4 linked regions of the Saccharomyces cerevisiae S288C genome follow. The protein of the gene in region 3 interacts with the protein of the main gene of each other region in a biochemical or structural test. Each region holds a gene or a part of one and is shown on either strand. Other genes may lie near its edges.

Region 1 (4,256 bases), on a different chromosome or scaffold from region 3:
TTTGTAGTGTGCTTTTCCTATAATTAAAGGTATGAAAATACAGAAAGACGTGGAAACTTCCATTGTACTGAATTTAATTCAGCTTTATATATCTACTGGGAGACTCTTCATGCATTTCTTAATCTTAACGTTCCATTGTAGCTTAAAACTGGTCTCTAACAAATCTATACATAGACTAGAAGTAAATCCGAAATAGTGAGCATAAGGAAAGCACCATGTACCATACACTTCTGGTAAACACCTGATGCGATTCTAAAACAGCATTATGGTTGTAGTAAGTATCAGATCTGTATGCGATGCAGGAGTGCAATAAGTTTGTTTCAGTGTTGTTTTATGTTCGAGGTTTTGACAACGCCGTACGGGCACACCGTCTGTTGAAAAATAATACTGTAGAGGAGTCATATAAACGCTTGAAACAAAGAAGGACAAGGCAAAATAATTTGTTCATTTTACTGAAAGGGAAGGCTCGTGAAAGTATCTATACAAAAGCTTTAACGTCTCTGTAAGTATTTTTTTACGTAAGAATAATATAATAGCATGACGCTGACGTGTGATTCTAGTTGCCCAAAGACACATAATTGCTGGGGAAGAGACCTTTTGAGCCGTCTTTCTCTAGTTCCCCTAGCCACCAGTCATCGTCGACAAATTCAATATTGATAATCTTGTCATTTTCCACAAAGGTCAGTTCGTTATCTTCTGCAGCATCGTAATCATATTCTGCTGTGGCCCAAGGATTTTCCTTTGGCTTTTTCTCTGGAGTTGCTCGTCTTGGAGGCGGAGGAGGAGCTGCAGAGCTTCTTGATGGCAGCTGTGGAGCGGCTTCCTCAGCTTCTTCTTCAATTTCTTCTTCAGGTGCTTGTTCAGGTGCTTCTTCTTGTTTTGGAGCTGGGATCGAGTTTCTAGAAGGTAAGCTTGGGGCGATCTCTTCTTGTTCAGGCTCTTCTTTTTGCACTGGTGCTCCTGACGCAACATTCCTCGAAGGCAAAGGAGGTTGAGCAGCCTCGTCTTCATCATCATCCCAGTCATCATCATTCTCTTCTGGTTCTTCCTCATTATCCGCTTCAATGTGCATACCGGGTAATGGGTTGCCGATCTTCTTGTAATCAGTCTTAGGCTGCTCGGCTTCTTCAGCTTTCACAGGTTCTTGTGGCTTGGAGAAGGGTTTTGGTGAGATAATAGTTGGTTCTGATTTCTTTGGAGGAGGAGCAAATTTGTTTTCCATTTCTTCCTCCTCTTTTTCTGAAGCGGCCAATCCTTCAAATTTTGATTTCAAATCTTTGACGTCAGGTTCACCTTCAGGCTCATCTTCTGGAACTTCAGGTTTTGGTGCCTCAGCCTTAGTTTCGGCGTTGCCGCTGTTTTGCTTTGCCTTTCTTTCGGCCCATAATTGAGCAGGTGATTTCTCGTTTCTAAAACCCTTAATGACTTTATCATCATCATTCTTTAATGAAGATTCCGTCATGGAGGGGGGTTTAGTGGTGCCCAAAAAGGAGTTAAACTCGGAGTCCCTCTTTAATTTTGATTCGTTCTTTAAATTAGCGATATCAGAACTAGGATCAATCTTGGAACCAGCAGCGGTTGGCTTTTGAACAAGACGTGGGTCCTCCTTAGCCTTTTCTTCAGCAATCACTTTTTGCAAGTCGATTTTGCCAATTGGTTTGTAAGATGATTGATTTGGTTTCAGGGGAGCCTGATCGAAGTCGCGTTCCTTTAATTCAGGCTCATTCCAATCGTCGTCGTCATTGTTGTCGTTAACACGGGAAGAAATCTTAGCAGCAGGTGCTGGGGAAGGAGTCTTGACTGGTTCCTTCTTAGAAACTGGAGCAGGGCTCTTGGAAGGTGTGAAGGATTTCTTCACGGGAGGAGTGGAAGCCTTCCCCTGTTGCTTGGAGGAAGTCTGAATAGAATAACGGGCACCGGCCGCGTTACTGATTTTCATCAACAGTTCATTTTCGTCAAGATCGTCCTCGTCTCTGGCGGTAACTTGAACGTGGTAACCCTTGAACAGATTATTAGCAACTGCAGCAAAATTGGCGGCGAAAGAGGCCCTTGTCTTCAATGGCGCAGAATCAGGACACCAACCAATGATAATAATCTTCTCAACGTCTGACCCTGGTGGGGACACACGTGCCAGTCCGTACTGGACCTTGGTTTCATCAAACAATTGCAAGAAATCGTGAAAGGAGGAACCGGTAGACTCAGGTTCGTATTCTTTTTTCGCATTGGGTGAAATAATCAACCAGGTGGTGTCAGGATCGGAGCCTCTGACAATCTTCAGGTACTCTGCGTCGATCTCTCTCGAGTGAGTAGTATAATCAATAGGTTCCAAAGCCATTGTGATTGATAGGTGTGTGCGTGTATATACGTGCGGTTATGCGATTGTTTGTTTATAGATTGAACTATCCAATATGGTATACTCCTATTATATCCTTTTTTTCTACTTTAATCGAGGTTTTCCGCATTGTGAAAAAACAAGTGGAAATAAGAGACACAAGGCCACGTGACGCACATTTATACAGAAATACATCAATGGTTGCATAGTAAAGCGAAAACAAGAGTTCCTCGAGGGCGTATGATGCTTGAAAACGATTAAAATCCTATGGAAAAGGAATGCCTTTTCCCTCCATTGCTGACGGGATATTGTGAACTATTGACTGTCTCATTTAACTTCCTAAAATAAGTGCTCTCATGGACAGAGATATCAAAGTAACGTCTAAATATTAGCTTTGTGACTACTACATTGATGCAGATGAGTGGACTAGCAGCATCTCATAATAAATAAATCAAAAATAAAGGTTCATTCTCTTTTGGTTGCTTTTTGCCTTGACGGGAAAAAGTGAAAAAAAATTGAAAATTTTTAACTTGCGATGAGCTCTAAGAGTATTCTGTATACAACAGCAAACGGTCTCAGTCAAGAAATATTTGTTATTACAGGATGGTTACGTTCAACTGTGAGGTGTGTAATGATACTGTGCCCAAGAAGAATACCGAAAAGCATTATTATAGATGTCCTAACGCGTACTATACATGCATAGATTGCTCCAAGACGTTTGAAGATGGCGTGAGTTACAAGAATCACACGTCTTGCATCAGCGAGGACGAGAAGTACCAGAAAGCGTTGTACAAGGGCAACAAGAAGCAGAAGCAGAAGCAGCAGCAGAAGCAGCAGCAGAAGCAGCACCAGCACCAGCCAGTGGCAACTCCTGCAAAGAAAGTGGAGAAGCCTGTGATCAAGAAGGCAGAGAAAGTGGAAAAGACCTCGAACGGTATCGAGCTTCACAAGGGCAAGTCGTTGTACAAAATTTTGAAAACCATGAAGGATAAAGGGGCAAAAAAGACCTTCTTGAAAAGTCTGGTTGTGGATTCTGAGGGGCAAATCAGGTATGCAAAGGAATAATCGGAATTTTATGTGTAGATATATAGACATTATGTAGCAGCTTACTCGGTTTCATCTTTTTTCTCTCTTTTCTTATTCAGGCTTTTAGCGATTTTGTTATAGAATTGGTTTAGCGACGAGAGGGGGAAACTCAACGTTTCGAAGAGGTATTCCGGTAGTTTCGACTGTAGCGAGTATAGTTCCTCGGTGGATCGCTGTTTAAGAACGGGCGCATATATGACTTCTGTGACTTGGGCCTGGCCCTTGACAAATCCGAGTTTATAGTCCATTATCGAATAATCATCGGAAGATCCCCCTGAGTGGGTGCCCTGCGAGATGTCGAACCACAACCCAGAATCATCCTCGTAGCTTTTATGTACACGTACGTTACAGAGGTACTCGTAAAGGTCCTTTATGACTTCTGAATTTTCTGCCTGTTGGGAAGTCTGAGTCTTCAGCTCCTTGACTTGTGCGTTTAGCGAGTCTATCTGCTTCTGCAGCTGTTTGATCTCGGTTGCTTTTGTATCCAGCTTCTCCGACAGTACGAAATTCTCATTTACCAAATTTGCCACTAGTAAGTCTGCGGAATCGATCTGTTGTTTCACTGAGTTTTTGTATACAGTCAATGGATCCATTTTGCGCACGTTGGATTGTCTTGTTTCGCTTTCTTTTTTTTATTGTTCCTGTTTATCTATCTAATGACCTTCTTGTCTGTCTGCTTCTTCACTGTTTTGATTTCAATGTGACCTTTTTCCAATCATTTTTCAATGTAAACAAATACAAGATATTGAAGCATAAACAAAATAAAATGAAATAATACGGGAAGAGCGCAGAGGGTGAACAGAATAAGGCGAGCCATAATGAGGCCGCCCTTCTTCAC
Region 2 (8,010 bases), on a different chromosome or scaffold from region 3:
CCATTTGTAAAAGTTCGTCAACAACATTGAAAATATTGCTTCGAGCAGATGTTTTATCGTTTCTGCAAATTTCCAGTCCTGAACACCTCTGTTGTCGTAAATGTAATAATGCCACACTGGATTCGATTCTAGTAATTACATGATCAAAAAATAACAACGCATCCTTCTCAGAAATCGATTGCATAATACCATTTTCAACTTTAGGGTTAAATTTAATATAACTTCCCTCCGTCCGAGAGTCTAGTTCAATAAATCCGCCGCTTAAAGCTGACATTATAGATTCCAGTCTGTTTGAAATGACTCTTAAACGAAACAACATCGTTTCATTGATTAATTTTGACTGCTCATCTTCAGATGCAAATTCGTGTCTGGAAGCAAGAATCTTAGGATACGCAATAGTAACGAGTTCTTTGGTTTCGAGTCCCTTTAGCTTATGCTCGCCAAAGTCAAAAAATGCCCAACCAATACTTTCCAGCATGGCAATTTCTCTTTCAAGAACCTCTCCGATAATTTCTTCACCATAAACTTCCTTGAGAGATTCCTTGCCCTTCACTACTCGCTCATGATACTTCATTATCTTGTTGAATTCAGAGTAAAAATCACTACTCATTGCAATCTGACCACCGTCAGCGACGCCCTGGACCCTTGCTGCCTTATTGACCATCGGCCCCAAATAGTCCATTCTTTGAGTCACTAAATCAAGCTCTGGAACTGGGCAGCCCCAATGAATACCCATTCTAACTGATAGGCCTTGATAGATAATGTTACCATTTCTATCCGTAACTTGGCAGCCGTCTTGAACTGAGGTAATTTCCTCCGGCCATTGTGCATCCAAGAGTTTTAATTGAACACTTAAGCACCATGTCAGACCACTAGTTGGCGTAGGAAATGCCACCATAAAGGCGTCTCCTTCTGTCTTTACTTCGTAACCACCGTAAATTCGTAGTTGACGACGCATAATGTCATTGTGAGTTTTTATTGCGGTCCTCATTGCGTTAGGGAATAGCTCCCATAAGAAGGTTGAGCTTTTGATATCAGTGAAGACCATTGCTAGGTTACCTGTTGGCGGAGAAATCTCAGGTTGAAGTCTTCTTAATGTAGTATCCTCGAAAGTACTTCTTCTAGTCATTAAAGAGTTTTTATTTAAAGTGAACCGATTTTGTTGCTGAATGTTCTCGTAAAGAGCAAGGCACAAAATTGTAATATTCTCTGTACAGCCGTAAGCCATGGCATGATCCTTCAACTCAGCTGCGGCACGGAGTGGATCAGTACTATTCTCACGCGCGATATCACAAACTGTATCCACGTCCATGTATTCCCATAACTTATGCGTTGCTACAATAAGCATCTCGTCTGCTTTTGTTAATGTCACGACAGATATGTCGGGAGAAGCATGAATGTGGGGAAGCAAATCAAAAAAACCCACTGCTCTAGACACATCTACAACACCATCTAATTTTCCATTGTTGACATACCCGCCAGATATTCTGATCCTCTCGTATTCTTCCCGCTTTGTTGGGAGATGTTGTTTGGTTAGCGTTTGGTAGTCACCATTGTTTTTGGATAAAATAGCCATACAGTCACCTAAATTTGCAGCGAAGAGTTTCTTCCCTCTGATATATATCACAGTAGAGCAAGCGCCACTTAGCAAGTCTGCATATGAAAGATTGGCAACATCGGCACCATTATCAACAGAATTTAGCATTCCGTTAATCTCCTTATTCAGTTGCAAAAAACTGAAACGAAGTGCAGTTTTTATATTATCATCTGTTTCGTCTCCATACCTTTCCAGTTGTCTGATCAGTATTTTATCGTAAATATCTCTAACAATTCTTGATATATTGTGGCCATAATCTGCATTTTGGTTTTTACTATCATGAAGACATAGTAAGCATTCGTCGTCATTTCCGCGGAATCTTTCAAAGGTAACATCACGAGATGACACATAGTCTCTTTGACCTAATGTATCAGCAACACCGTAGCGCATCCCATTTATTATTGATGCAGTTGTCCTTAAACGGAAATTGACATTTTCATCCGGTACTTTGGTAGTATTTAAAGTTACGTCCATTAAACCTAGTACCTTTAACTGAGGTAATACTGTCAGATCTGACAAATCAGCATCAATATCGTGACTTATAAATGACTTTATTTCAAACCTTCGATTTCCTGAAAAATTCAAATATTTTAGTTCTTTATTATTCCTCCAGTTCCAATCGTAATGATAGTTTGATATATTATACTTTAATTGATTTGCTCCAACATCAAATACACTTAGCTGTGAGAGATTTGATAATTCTGCAGGCAGAGATAACATTTGGTTACTATTCAACATTAAAGTCTTTAAAGAGCTCCATTTCAAAACTGTATCACCCGACAATGTCGTGAGCTTATTACCGGAGAGGTACAATTCGGTAATGCTCTCAAGTTTCATGTGCGATACATCTGAAAAATTGTTGTAAGAAAGATTTAGCACTTTCAGATTGACAAAGCAATTGAAAAGAGGCCACATAGCATCATCAAATTGATTGTCTGCAGCAATAAAAAACATCAGGCTTTTAGATAACTTTGACCCATATGACATGTTATGGTAAAAAGAATTTTCTAAGCTAGAGTTACCGAATGCATTCGATGAAATATTTAGCGATGTTAGTTCAAGGTTTTCCATACCGTCAACAAAGTCCCTTATGTTGTTAGAATGTAGATCTAATGTCCTCAAACTTTTCAGTTGAGATAGCTCGGGTGGAATATACTCTAGTTTGTTTCTCGCCACTGAAAGGAAAACTAATTTAGTCAACTTGGATATCTCCTGTGGCAGTCTAGTCAAATTATTCTGATTAAGTTCAAGTTTCTCGAGGAAAGATAGTTTGGTGAGTAATTCTCCAGGAATACTCGATAACTGTGCCTTGTTCAACGTCAAACTTGTCATGTTTTTTGGATAAAAATCTTTGAAGGATATAGAAGTGATTGGATTCTCTTGAATTTCAAGGGCTCTTAGTTTCGGCAAAGTGTCTTCAAAGTTCGAAATTCTATTATCTGTTAAAAAAAGGTTCTGCAAGTTAGACGCATTTGTCTTAATTGATGATATTCTGTTATATCTTAGGTTCAGCGTCCTCAAATCTGTCATTTCCGATAAGTCGCCTATAAAATTTAGTTTGTTATGAGAAAGGTTCATCTTCGCAAGCTTTACTAGGTACTTAGTGGACTGTGGTAAGCTTTGGATTTTATTATATGATAGGTCTATTTGTAAAAGATTGGTGCAGTAGTTAATAACTTCTGGGTAGTGCATGAACTTGTTTGAAGACAAGTCTAGCAATTGCAGATTTTTCAGTTCAACAAATCCAGCCGGTAGGCTTTCAAGCTCATTACATTGAAGGTTTAATATCGTTAAATTACTCAGTTTCATGATTGAGTTCGGTACTTTTCTTATGAAGTTTCTCTGTAATTCCAAAGATACTAGTTTATACGCCTTAGTGATATTGGAAGGAAATTTAGATGCTCTAATATTAACCATTCTCAAACTTAATAATTTAATCGAGCTTTCAATGAACTCCAGAGGTAGGAATATATTTGCGTTATTAGAAACGTCTAAACTTTCTATTTCTGACGTATGCTGGTAAAAAATGATGGGAGGTGTAGTCAGATCCATATTCCTTAAATCTACGTGAACAAATTCGCTTCTCATTATTCTTTGTTCTTGTTCAGGAGTAAAGTGAGAAGGTGTGACAGGATGGAAAAGAAACTTAAAAACAAAACTTAAATCCTCTATACCCATAATATGAAGTGGGTCTGACTTTCGATAACCATTCAAAAGTAAAAGTTTTCTTTCAATTAAAATAGGTTTCGAAGTTGGTCTCAAAATTTTTGACAACTTTCCCACCTTCAGGGAAATTTGAAAATTCCCTTGCGCTGTAATGTTAAATTTTCTTTTAAGTGCAGGTATTATCTCTTCGACGGTAGTCGCTGGAGTACATGAGAGAGTCGTAAAAGTGTCATCAGTATTGAATATACGAATAGCATAGTGCCTCTTTGGATCTAAATCACTGAAATCTTTATAGTAATGTTCCAGTTGGCACTCGACCTCATCGTCCTTCTCATCTTGTAGTAATAATCCAGAACTCTGGGCACCATCTGGTGAATTCATATTTACCGAAGAGGATGTAAATTTCTTGGTATACGATTTCGTTTTATTCAGGATCGGTGTTTTATTATCCTGCTCTCGGTTGGCCTCCATATACGCGTTAGTGTACGAAGAGGAATCGCTGCAGGAAGATGTATCTTCTGAACTAATAGATGAGGACGGTAAAGATGAGGAAGTGGAAGACGTGTCGTAGTCCCCATCTAAATTTGATGGAGCATATCGTATACTTGGGGGACTCATAGCCAAATTACTTTTTAAGCGGTTCACAGATTTAGTATCGAGTGCGGTCTTGCTATCATTCGGAACGTTTTCTTTACATATATCAACAAAACTTGAGTTACTGTCACCCGCAGTGACCATTGATTCGTTATCCTTTCGATCGTGATGATGACGAGAGTCTTTTTTTGAAGGTGGCCCCGGTGACATGGGATCAAGTTCATCAGCATCTATACTTGACCTTCTTGATTTCGATCTCCCTTTAGGTTTTGTTTTTTTCCTTTTGGTTTCCACATCCCAGCTTTGAGGTGCTACCCATTGTGATCTATCATTGGAAGTTGATGTGAATTCACCATTAGGTGCTGCGGCAGCGACGGAGAGATCAGCCATTGACACCGACTTCCTAGGACCTTCAGGCATGATCACCGTTTTGGGTGAGGCAGTCTCAGTCCCGTGTGTAGAATTTAGTGTAGAATTGACAGCGGTGGGTGGCACCGTCTTTGTAATATCAGTAACATCCTCAAGGTTTGTATCTAGCCTGAAAAGGGATGGTTTACATGAAATGGGTGTTTCTATAGTAGGCGTTGTGGCTTCGCGTTTGTTGTCAGAGTTAGAATTTTCCGGAATGTTCTCATTATATTCTGGAGTCACTTTCTCGGATTTATTATTAGTGTGATCGGCGGATTCGCTGTTAACGCTGTCCTTACTTTTAGTAGTTGGAGAAACATTAGATACGTTATGTTGGAGAACATGACTACCCGACGTCGCCATACTTGCACTGTCACTGTTAGTCATTGAACTGACATTTGAACCTCTTCTACTGCTTGAAGAAGATGTGGAGCCTAGCAGAAAGCTTTTTCTGTGCGAGCGTTTGCTATTGGGAACATCGGATGAATGTAATGTATTTTCTGATTGCGCAACAGCCTTTGGTCTAATCTGTTTATCTGCAATACCATTATTTATATCATGGACGGAAGAACCACGTACCAATGAGGACACTTTCCTTCGTAAAGTGCTTGGCACGTTATCAGCCAAGTGATTAGATAAAGTGGAGTCTTTAGAAGGTTTCCTATTAGCAGGTGCAGGATTTACCGTTGAAAGGGAAAGGTTAGCAACTTTACTTTCCTTTCCTGACTTATTGCCATCGTGACTGTTTGACCCTGAAAACCTTTTGAATAGGGTTTCCGCTAATGATGGCTTCCTATTGGGAAAAAACTGAACATGATGATGATCATGATGACCGTCATGATGGTTATGAGTAGATGTGTAGTTGTGCGTCTTGGATGAATTCAAAGCGTAACCGTGGTCTTTATTATCATCATGAGTACTATTCGCGCTCGTCATTGAAAGACTGCTCAATGTTTTCTTCAGTAAATATGGACCCCTTTTGATTTTCGGTTCTGTCGGCCTTGGATGTTCCACGTTCGAAATACTTACATCATCCATACCATTTGGAGTGATACTCTCCCTGCTTTTGGTCATAGAAAGCGACCGTGGGCTGTAATAACTATATGCGCTATTCCTTCTTGATTTGTGACCACTATTTTGTTCGTGACGCTTCTTGACTTTTGGTACCTCATCATGAATGCTTCTATCGTTTGCTTCCGTAGGTGAGCTCTGCTCTATCTGTTGTTCTTGTTCTTCCTGTCGCTGAGGGCCAGAAATTTCCGAACCAGTATCAGGTTTTGATGACATTTCGACCTAGGGATTTCGTTTGCTGTTGCTTTAGCTCGTTTCGCAATGGTTAGCGACAATAGTAAAGATATGCTATTTTTGGTTGTGAACTGCAGCAAGAGGTCTCCTTATGCTTTCTCTCCTCTGTTACTATACTTCCCAGCTGTCTTTACTGAACTTTGGAAGAAAATACACTTTTTTAGAGTCGCTTTTCTTATGGTAAGTCCCCCCTGCTTTCCTTCCAAAATACAAAAAAAAAAAAAAAAAAAAAGTAAGAAAAAGGAAGTGAAAAAATAAGGTTATGATTGAATATTTAGGTTTGATAGAGGAGAAAGTAAGGAAGGTCTCAGTTCAGTCTGCCATTCCAATTTGAAACATAGAATTTCAGTGATTAACAATGCAATTGAACAATTGAACACAGAGAAGAAGAAGAACGAGAACTGACTCTAAATCTGGCATTTTATCCTTTTTTATGGCTATTTACATTGGGAGCTAGGCGAAATGCATATTTGTTTACTTTCTGGCATTTACAAAATCATTTTTTAAAGGGTATGACCTACTCTAATGCGCTTTTCTGTAGAACAACGCAGGGAACGGTATTTGATGTTTTCAATGATGTATGACTTATATAACATCTATTTCCTAGGATTTTTAAATAAGATGGAGGGTTGGCCGAGTGGTCTAAGGCGGCAGACTTAAGATCTGTTGGACGGTTGTCCGCGCGAGTTCGAACCTCGCATCCTTCAGTATTTTTTGTCCTTATCTTTTTGCTGCACCGAAAGCACTCATGAAGTCTACGGCTTGATGCACACCGTTTGGGAACCTTTGCGATCCCACGTACCTAAATGGTCCTTTTCGGTACAACTTGCTGAAGAATCACTGTGTGGCGGGTAATGCTCTCTTTATACTTGCATTGCGAAAATCCGCGATGATCAAAAATCCAAACAAGTACTGTCCTGAAAGCCGTCTTTATACACATAGATATATATATATATATATATATATCTGTATCTATAGAGCGAGAGGAGATATAGAGCCAGCAAAACTAAGAAAATTACGTACTTTGATATGCCTAGCACGTTTGAATCCCAGCTTTTTTTTTCGAGACCGTTTCTGTCTAAAAGGCAAATTCAAAGAGCCCAAAAGAATACAATATCGGACTATCGAAATTACAACCAGAAAAAACTTGCCGTGTTCAAATTTCTAAGTGACTTGTGTGTTCAGCTGAAATTTCCACGGAAGACTTTAGAAACAGCAGTATACTTTTACCAAAGATACCACCTCTTTAATCGCTTCGAGACCGAGGTTTGCTACACTGTAGCGACAAGCTGCCTGACTTTGGGCTGTAAAGAAGTTGAGACAATTAAAAAAACAAATGATATATGTACTTTGTCATTACGATTGAGGAATGTGGTTAAAATCAATACGGACATTTTGGAAAATTTTAAAAAAAGGGTATTTCAAATAGAACTTCGGATATTAGAGTCATGCTCATTCGATTATAGAGTCAACAATTACGTTCATATTGATGAATATGTTATAAAAATTGGTAGGGAGCTATCCTTTGATTATAAGTTGTGCAATCTGGCTTGGGTAATTGCTTATGATGCTTTGAAGCTAGAAACTATTTTAGTCATACCCCAACATTCCATTGCATTGGCCATTTTGAAAATAGCATATGAATTACTAGATAATAAGAATTGGTCAAGTAAAAGGTATTCTTTATTTGAAACAGACGAGAAATCCGTAAATGAAGCTTATTTTGATATAGTCAATTTTTACATCAATTCATTCGATATGTGCGATCTACAACGTCATTTACCGGCTGATTTGCTGCCGATTGGCGTTGAAAGGTTTATGGAACTGAAAAAAAACGCAGGACCAGAATCTGGATTGCCGCAAATACCAGATCACCTGTTGAATGCCGATCCTTATATCACTATTACTAGAGATAATAATGTCCAAGAAAGAAGATATGT
Region 3 (3,837 bases):
ATGGTAGGCAAGATCCTAAAAAACCCTTTTTCACACCATGGAAGCCAAGACCATTTTTATCGCCTTTCGCCATTTTACCTCATCATTTGGAAATATCTTTCAAGACATGCCACGCTGTATACCTAAGGGATCCCGTCGCTCGACCAGGCCAATCCGAAGTAATTTCACCATTTGATGTTCCTGTTCATGAACGTGCATATATGTATTACTTGAGAAATGGTAAATGATCGTCGTGTATTGTTGCACGCGTCTTTTGACTGATCTTCAGCCTCTCTTTACACTGTAAATATTTAATTTTTTTTGTTTTTAAGTTCTACTCGAACGATCAAGTAGTCACTTAGTCGCTCCTCGTTTTCCTGTTACTTCTTTAAGAAAAGGTTACACATGAAAAAAAGGTTTTACAAAAAGTATATAATTGTTTATTCATTCACTTTTCTTTCTGATTGATTCAAATGTGATTTATTTCTTTTAACTAAATACAATTAATGCTCCTCGCAATATTAACCAGCATGTTCGAAAACAGCAGATTTGAACTTACCATCAGCGAAGCTATGCTTCATCTGTTCAGGGATTGGGAATTCTACGTAATCATCGTCCTCGCCGATTGGTAAGTTGACGTTAATAGCAGTTGAGCACGAGGTGTAGATTTCAGTATTCAAGGATTCCTTGGATAAATAGATGTTACCGCCGTCAGATTTATCAATGGAGATTTGAGGTAGGGAATGGTTAACTTGAATGCCAAACTTGTTGGATTTGATGACATCCATACCGGAAATGCTAGAATCAAGAACAACACTGCATGACTCAGTTTCACTCAACGAGATAGCGTTAACTTTTCCTTTTATTTGAACAAGAACTTGAGAACATTTACCTATGAAGATAGACTCATCTTTATTTGCATCAATAACCAGAGATTCAGTTTCATTTTCGTAATTCTCAATAAACCATTTGTTTCCTACCAATTCCTTTCTAGGAGGCCTCTTAGTTTTCAATGTTGATGGCTTTTTTGGCCTTGGTGGTGGACCGGATTTACTTCCTGTGGAAGAAACTGTAGAGGATTGACGTAATTCAGGATTTTTGTGAGTTTGTTGGGATTTGTCTACTTTTTTCAAACCCTTAGTGATATTTTCACCCTGATTTAGTTCGGCGAAGACCGCGCCAATACCGCCTTTGTTAGCATCACTACTCGTTGCTGGTGTATCATTAGAGATTTCAAAGACGGAAGCTGGTGGGGCTGGTGGAGGAGGTGGTGGTGCTGGAGCCGCTGTAGCACTTGCTGGCGAAGGAGATGAAGTAGCACCTGTATTCTTCGTTGATTGTGCCATCGCGTCAGCAAAATCCATACCGTCTTTTTTCCAGGAAACCCCAGTAGTATGATACTCTTTAATGTAGGCTTTCAAATTATCGAAAGAGGCCAAAAATTTCTTAACCCATTCAACAGCATTAGGATCAGACTCTCTGTATTCTTTCAAAATTCTATTAGTCCAAAACTGTGCTGCGTCCTTGAAATCTGTGACCATAGACACGGGAGTGTCCACTGCAACCCAGGAGAACAAAGGAGCACCCTCAGATAAAGCGCTCAAATATGCGAAGTATTTGCTTTGACGGTTTGATTCCTTCAATTGACCCAGCTTTATAATATTTTCGTTGATAGGTCTTAAAGAATCAGCGAAAGTTTGAGAAGAATAATCCGGTTTTCTTGATCTCACAGCAGCTCTTAAAAAAGTCAATTGCGATTGAAAGCCTCCCTTTAGCAACTGCAAAGCATCTAAGACCACCGTGTCGATCTTTCCTGATAATTCTACCAGCGGATCAATATTCTCACCGATGTAAGATTGGAACGCAGTTATGCATTTCGGATCTTGTTCTACTTCAGGAGCATTTTCTGCAGAAGGTTCATTCGTAGTATTCGCATCGGCCCCGGAGTCGGAAGGCTTGTTATTTTTAGATGCCTCCAATTTATTCTGAATATAACCTTCTTGATAGATGGTGACATCCTCTAATCTTGCAGTGGCTTCTTCTAGCCTTTTTAATAGCTTAACAAGGTTATAACCTTGCATTGTGTACTTAGAGTCAGGCATGATTCGATTTCACACGGTTGCAACTTGGCCTACTCAATTACGAAAAGTTTCAAGCTGAGTTTTCCCCTATACTACCAAAAGATTTCACTTCTAAATCCCTGTTTATGACTTCACGCGACATGTATAGATCATTTTAAACGATATGAATTGTATACTGTCCCAACATTTTATATCTTTATATAAACATCAAGGTTAATAATGTTCGACAGTTACTAGAATCAATGCCTAAAAGGTTACTGACTGAGTGTGATCTCTACCATAAATCTTGAGAACGACATACGAGGCGTAATTTTATGTAAAAATTATTTATGGATGTGGCTTCAACGTCCTACCTCTCTTCTCGTAAGTAGGCTTTATAGCCAGGGGACATGGATTTCAGGAGGTGAATACGAGTGTCACGTATACTAAGGTCTCCTCGGCTCAATGAAACGTACTCCAAAGATGCGGAGTGGCCTTGTAATGTATTTAGTGTATCGTTTCTCACATTTCTCTGCCACTGTTCTCGTGTAGTGCTCTCATCTCCCAGTCCGATGTACTTTTGTTTGTATATCTTCTGCAACTTCAACTGCCTCTGCTTTTCCGCCTGTTTTGAGTATTAGCATTACGTATAAGCCGCACGGACTTGCACGATTCATCGCAAGCGTAGTTAGTACCATGGTAAAGATGATTTCAATTCAAACTAAAGCGCAATAGAACGTAACATACCATTTCTTTTCTTAATTTCACTGTTTCGAATTGTGTAATATAACCATTTTAGCCACTATTTACATGTTCTGAATGAGAAGGCTTATGTTCTTCTCTTCTTCCCGGGTGACAACGCTAACTTCGGCGTAAGATTTTCCGCTATTTCTTCAATAGCGACATAACGTATGAGAGTTTATGCCCAGGGAACACGTTGATTTAGAAGCAAACACTGTTGCATAAATTATAGGGCTGTGATTTTATCGTCTTTATCTAAAGCATAATAGGGTGAAACGGTTTCAGTTGATACATATTCGCACCAGTATACATTTTCAGGACTTTATGGCAGAACAGACGCTACTTTCCAAATTGAACGCTCTTTCTCAAAAAGTGATACCACCAGCTTCCCCTAGTCAGGCAAGCATTTTAACGGAAGAGGTGATACGAAACTGGCCTGAACGATCAAAAACTCTCTGCTCCGATTTCACTGCACTGGAGTCAAATGATGAAAAGGAAGACTGGTTGAGGACTTTGTTTATTGAACTGTTTGATTTCATAAATAAAAACGATGAAAATTCTCCCCTCAAGCTTTCTGATGTTGCATCATTTACTAATGAATTAGTGAATCATGAAAGGCAAGTGTCCCAGGCTTCCATAGTTGGTAAAATGTTTATCGCCGTCTCAAGCACTGTTCCAAATATAAATGATCTAACAACCATATCATTATGTAAACTAATACCGTCGTTGCATGAAGAATTGTTCAAATTTAGTTGGATATCCTCTAAGCTGCTCAACAAGGAACAAACCACCTTATTAAGGCATTTGTTAAAAAAGTCAAAATACGAACTGAAGAAATATAACCTTTTGGTAGAAAATTCAGTGGGTTATGGTCAATTGGTAGCCTTATTAATATTGGCGTATTATGATCCCGACAATTTTTCCAAAGTGTCCGCATATTTGAAAGAAATCTATCATATTATGGGGAAATATTCCTTGGATTCTATTCGTACTTTAGATGTTATTTTGAACGTTTCTAGTCAGTTTATCACTGAAGGGTACAAGTTCTTTATTGCTC
Region 4 (3,369 bases), on a different chromosome or scaffold from region 3:
CTTAACGATGGCATAGCTGCCAATTTTGATGGTATTTCTAAATCTTCCATTAGACGTAGGAAAAGAAAGCTAAGAGAAGAACTAAAACCAAGAATGCAAGATCTGCTCACTTCTTTGGAGCAAGAAAAGGATTTACGGGGCATTATTGAAAATAGTAGCAAAGACATGAATAACGATGATGACATCGACATGGATTCTAAAATAAGGTTTGTGGACACAAAGGAAATGAACTTGAAAAAGATAGAACCTGGTTCTGTTAGGATAAAAAAGAATCAGCCAAATATCAGGAACCAAAAGGGTGCAAAGGCATTGGCTGCTAACGAAACTGCAAGATTCAATCAGGTCCTAACCAATCAAGATTTCCAAAAAAATCCATTTGGCGCCTTAAGAGAGGTTATCAAGCTGCAAAAACAATGAACATTAAATAGCATAGCATAACAATTTTTGCCAGTGTAATATATATTCCAGCAAACCTAGAAAAACATTCAGTTTCATATTTAGAAGAATAAAAACGTATGTATTGTTGGTCACACATATATAGATGCCATTTCTATCTCTATGTTCTTCTTTTCCTCAATGGGCCCTTTGGTTTGTTGAATTTCAAATTGCTTTTGTTTGGGAGATCTGGATTGGATCCATGATCGAGGCTATCTTCTTTATTTGTTGCCATAAGTAAGGACTTGTCTAGTTCCACAAAATCGCCAATTTCTACCACTTTACTAAATGCGATTTTTTGATCATTTTTCAAGTAGTTGATAAATCCATTCTTGTTAGAAGCATATATCATTCTATCTTTGACTTTGCTGCCAGAGGGACAAGAGTAGATAAAGAAACTTGAATCACCCTGCCTGAAAATCGTGTAACTTGGCCCGGGCAAGTCAATGTACAGTTCATCTACGGAGGGACATGTATCAGATTGCACGATCTGGATGGTTTCGTTCGAGGGATCGATTTGAAATATGATTAAATTTTTACCCTCGCTATCCAGTATTTCATTGATAGGTTTCTCAGAATTGACCCTGAAAGTTAACGATAAAGGCGAAGCACTGTCCTGAGAAACCAACTTGACGGATGTGTTTTTCCTTAAAAGTGCCTGTTGCTTATTGATTTCGATTTGCATTTCTTCATCATGTGTCAAGGGCTTATTCTGGCCAGCAGGACGGGCACTATCAAAATTTTTCAAATCCACCAAGTCCTGTGCATCTGTGATCAATGGCTGTTCGGTGGATAAAGAGTTTGAACCTACCTGTCTTGCCAGAGTGTTCTTCGTCGAGGCATAAAGCATTCTTGATCTTACCGGAGAACCATCGGGGATGAATGACACAAAGAAGTACTTATCAAGCCCTTCCGGCTTATAGAAGATGTACAACGGTTCTCTTTCTTGTGATGCCAACTGTACCAGCTCCTCGAAGCTACGTGCGACTTGCGTTTGATGTACCGAGGTAGAATCAGGGGAAATTTTGGCTATAATGATGACGATGCCATCTGCTGAAAGATTTTCATTCAGAGAATGCAGCAAGGCTTGTTCTGCGACTATACCGGATTGAGTAGACATGTGATGTGTTGAGATACAGAGTTCCTTCTTATTCAATTGCCTATCAAATTAGCCAACTTGTCCAAATAGTAAAAGATATAGATCTTATAATGACATATTTTTCAAATCCTACAAAAACAAGTTACCCTAACACTGTATAAAAAGAATCTATTTATTGTACTGTTAATAGTACTGTTATTACAACATGAATTCACCGATACCAAAACCAGCTGATAACGTCTGGCAAACACCACTCTTTCTTCTTATGGCCCTCTTCAACAGCTTATCTCTTTTAGACAAGGGTTTCCACTTTTTAGAAATTGCAGAGGATGAGCGCAGGGAATTCTTCAAAAACTTCCTTTTTTTCAAGGTGAACTTGCCCTCATTGTCTCTGTAGCACAATAACTTGATATTGTAGTCCAAATTATCAAGAAGGGAGGAAGATGGTGATGAAGATGGGGAGGGTTCCATGGCTTCAGCACTGTTGATATCATCTTTGATGAAGTCCTCTATTCCCAATGTGTCGTTCGAACTCGTGGTGGCGTCGCCTGGATGCAGAGCCACGAGGGAGCATTTTCTTTGTCTTGTCTCCTGCAGGCAAATGGCCTCTTCTGCAGTGCCATTTACTTCCTTCCAGAAGTCCGTATTATTTGCGTCACTCTTGCTATTGTCGCCGAAAAAGAATGATTGCTGTATCTGTGGTAGAAAGATACTGCTCTCGCTGCTATCGTGGAAATTATTCTTGTTGTGATTTTCCTCCATGGGTAGTTCATTGTCCGCACTGTAACTAAATGTGCTGTTGGTGAAGGAAGGCTGGTGGCATGGGGAGAAGAGAGGATCAGGCTCAGAACTATAGCCGAGCGTACTTTCGAGGTCGTCATCATCGTCATCATCGTGTAAATCTCCGTTTTGGGTGCCATCGTCCTCGGTGGCGTTCTCAGATAGTGAACCGGCAGTATCTATCGAACGAGCAGTGGTGATGATGATTGGGGTGGCCTCGACTGCACTGGCTGTGGTGTTTTTACCATCTGCTGTCCCGCGAGTGTCCGCTTTCTTTGTGTGCGATCTGGACAAGGGAGTAATATCCTCCTTGGTGATGACCTTATTCGGTACCTGAAATGCCTTGCTGCTTTTATTCATTGCTACGTAAACTATGCTATATGATACAAGTGAACGCTCGTCGAGGGAATAACTGCTGCGTGTGCGTGAACGAGTAAATGAATGAATGAATGAGTTAACACATGAAAACGAAGATAATCGCAAAACGACAATGAACAAATAAACACATCCCTCATTTGCGGCACTGCTCATCTCATCTCATCCTTTATATTAGGAGGCAACGAGCTTTCTCGCTCACCAAAAAGAAACGTGCGAAAAAAACCGAAAAATAAAAAAAAAAAAAAAAAAAAAAAAGAAACGCGCTGCAGGAACGTGACTTCCAAAAAAGGAAGGTGCCGTTCCAATATGGAAACCGCAGGCACTCATGATTGTGCAGGACGGGTAACACATGATTTGTTTCGTTTCTTCGATCATTTTGCAGAACTGGTCAGAAAAGAAAGTGAAAAAATCTAGTTTAACACTATTGTAGAGGCTATAAATTGTAGACAACATTTACTGCAGAAAACTGTACGCACATATATAACAGATACTACGGTTATTATGGACACACTGTTCAACTCCACGGAAAAGAATGCCAGAGGCATACCGCAGGCTCCATTCATCGAAAATGTCAACGAAATAATTAAGGACCCAAGCGACTTCGAATTGTGCTTCAATAAGTTCCAAGAACGGCTTTCTAAGTACAAATTTATGCAGGAATCTAAATTGGCTACGAT

Evidence for each region.
Region 1: the proteins of SRV2 (region 3) and ABP1 form a complex in vitro, tested with the Saccharomyces cerevisiae proteins (4 studies listed by BioGRID, with this or other methods).
Region 2: the proteins of SRV2 (region 3) and CYR1 form a complex in vitro, tested with the Saccharomyces cerevisiae proteins (one study listed by BioGRID).
Region 4: the proteins of SRV2 (region 3) and TWF1 form a complex in vitro, tested with the Saccharomyces cerevisiae proteins (one study listed by BioGRID).

Annotation. Positions count from the first base shown.
Region 1 is NC_001135.5:263,147-267,402, reverse strand, and holds ABP1 (Abp1p), read right to left. Parts: upstream 2,336-4,256; coding exon 557-2,335; downstream 1-556. Other genes in the region: YCR087C-A (uncharacterized protein), read left to right, coding at 2,936-3,397; CSM1 (Csm1p), read right to left, coding at 3,439-4,011; YCR085W (uncharacterized protein), read right to left, coding at 4,134-4,256. UniProt on the Saccharomyces cerevisiae protein: Regulates ARP2/3 complex-mediated actin assembly. Recruits ARP2/3 complex to sides of preexisting actin filaments, which may promote nucleation or stabilization of filament branches. Binds to actin filaments, but not actin monomers.
Region 2 is NC_001142.9:423,199-431,208, reverse strand, and holds the start of CYR1 (adenylate cyclase), read right to left. Parts: upstream 6,053-8,010; coding exon 1-6,052. Other genes in the region: CTK2 (Ctk2p), read left to right, coding at 7,100-8,010.
Region 3 is NC_001146.8:364,985-368,821, reverse strand, and holds SRV2 (adenylate cyclase-binding protein), read right to left. Parts: upstream 2,082-3,837; coding exon 501-2,081; downstream 1-500. Other genes in the region: mitochondrial 37S ribosomal protein uS4m NAM9, read left to right, coding at 1-227; U2 snRNP complex subunit YSF3, read right to left, coding at 2,410-2,664, 2,787-2,789; THO2 (Tho2p), read left to right, coding at 3,105-3,837. UniProt on the Saccharomyces cerevisiae protein: The N-terminal domain binds to adenylyl cyclase, thereby enabling adenylyl cyclase to be activated by upstream regulatory signals, such as Ras. The C-terminal domain is required for normal cellular morphology and growth control.
Region 4 is NC_001139.9:640,196-643,564, reverse strand, and holds TWF1 (twinfilin TWF1), read right to left. Parts: upstream 1,556-3,369; coding exon 557-1,555; downstream 1-556. Other genes in the region: SLX9 (Slx9p), read left to right, coding at 1-417; YGR079W (uncharacterized protein), read right to left, coding at 1,733-2,845; tubulin-binding prefolding complex subunit PAC10, read left to right, coding at 3,194-3,369. UniProt on the Saccharomyces cerevisiae protein: Actin-binding protein involved in motile and morphological processes. Inhibits actin polymerization, likely by sequestering G-actin.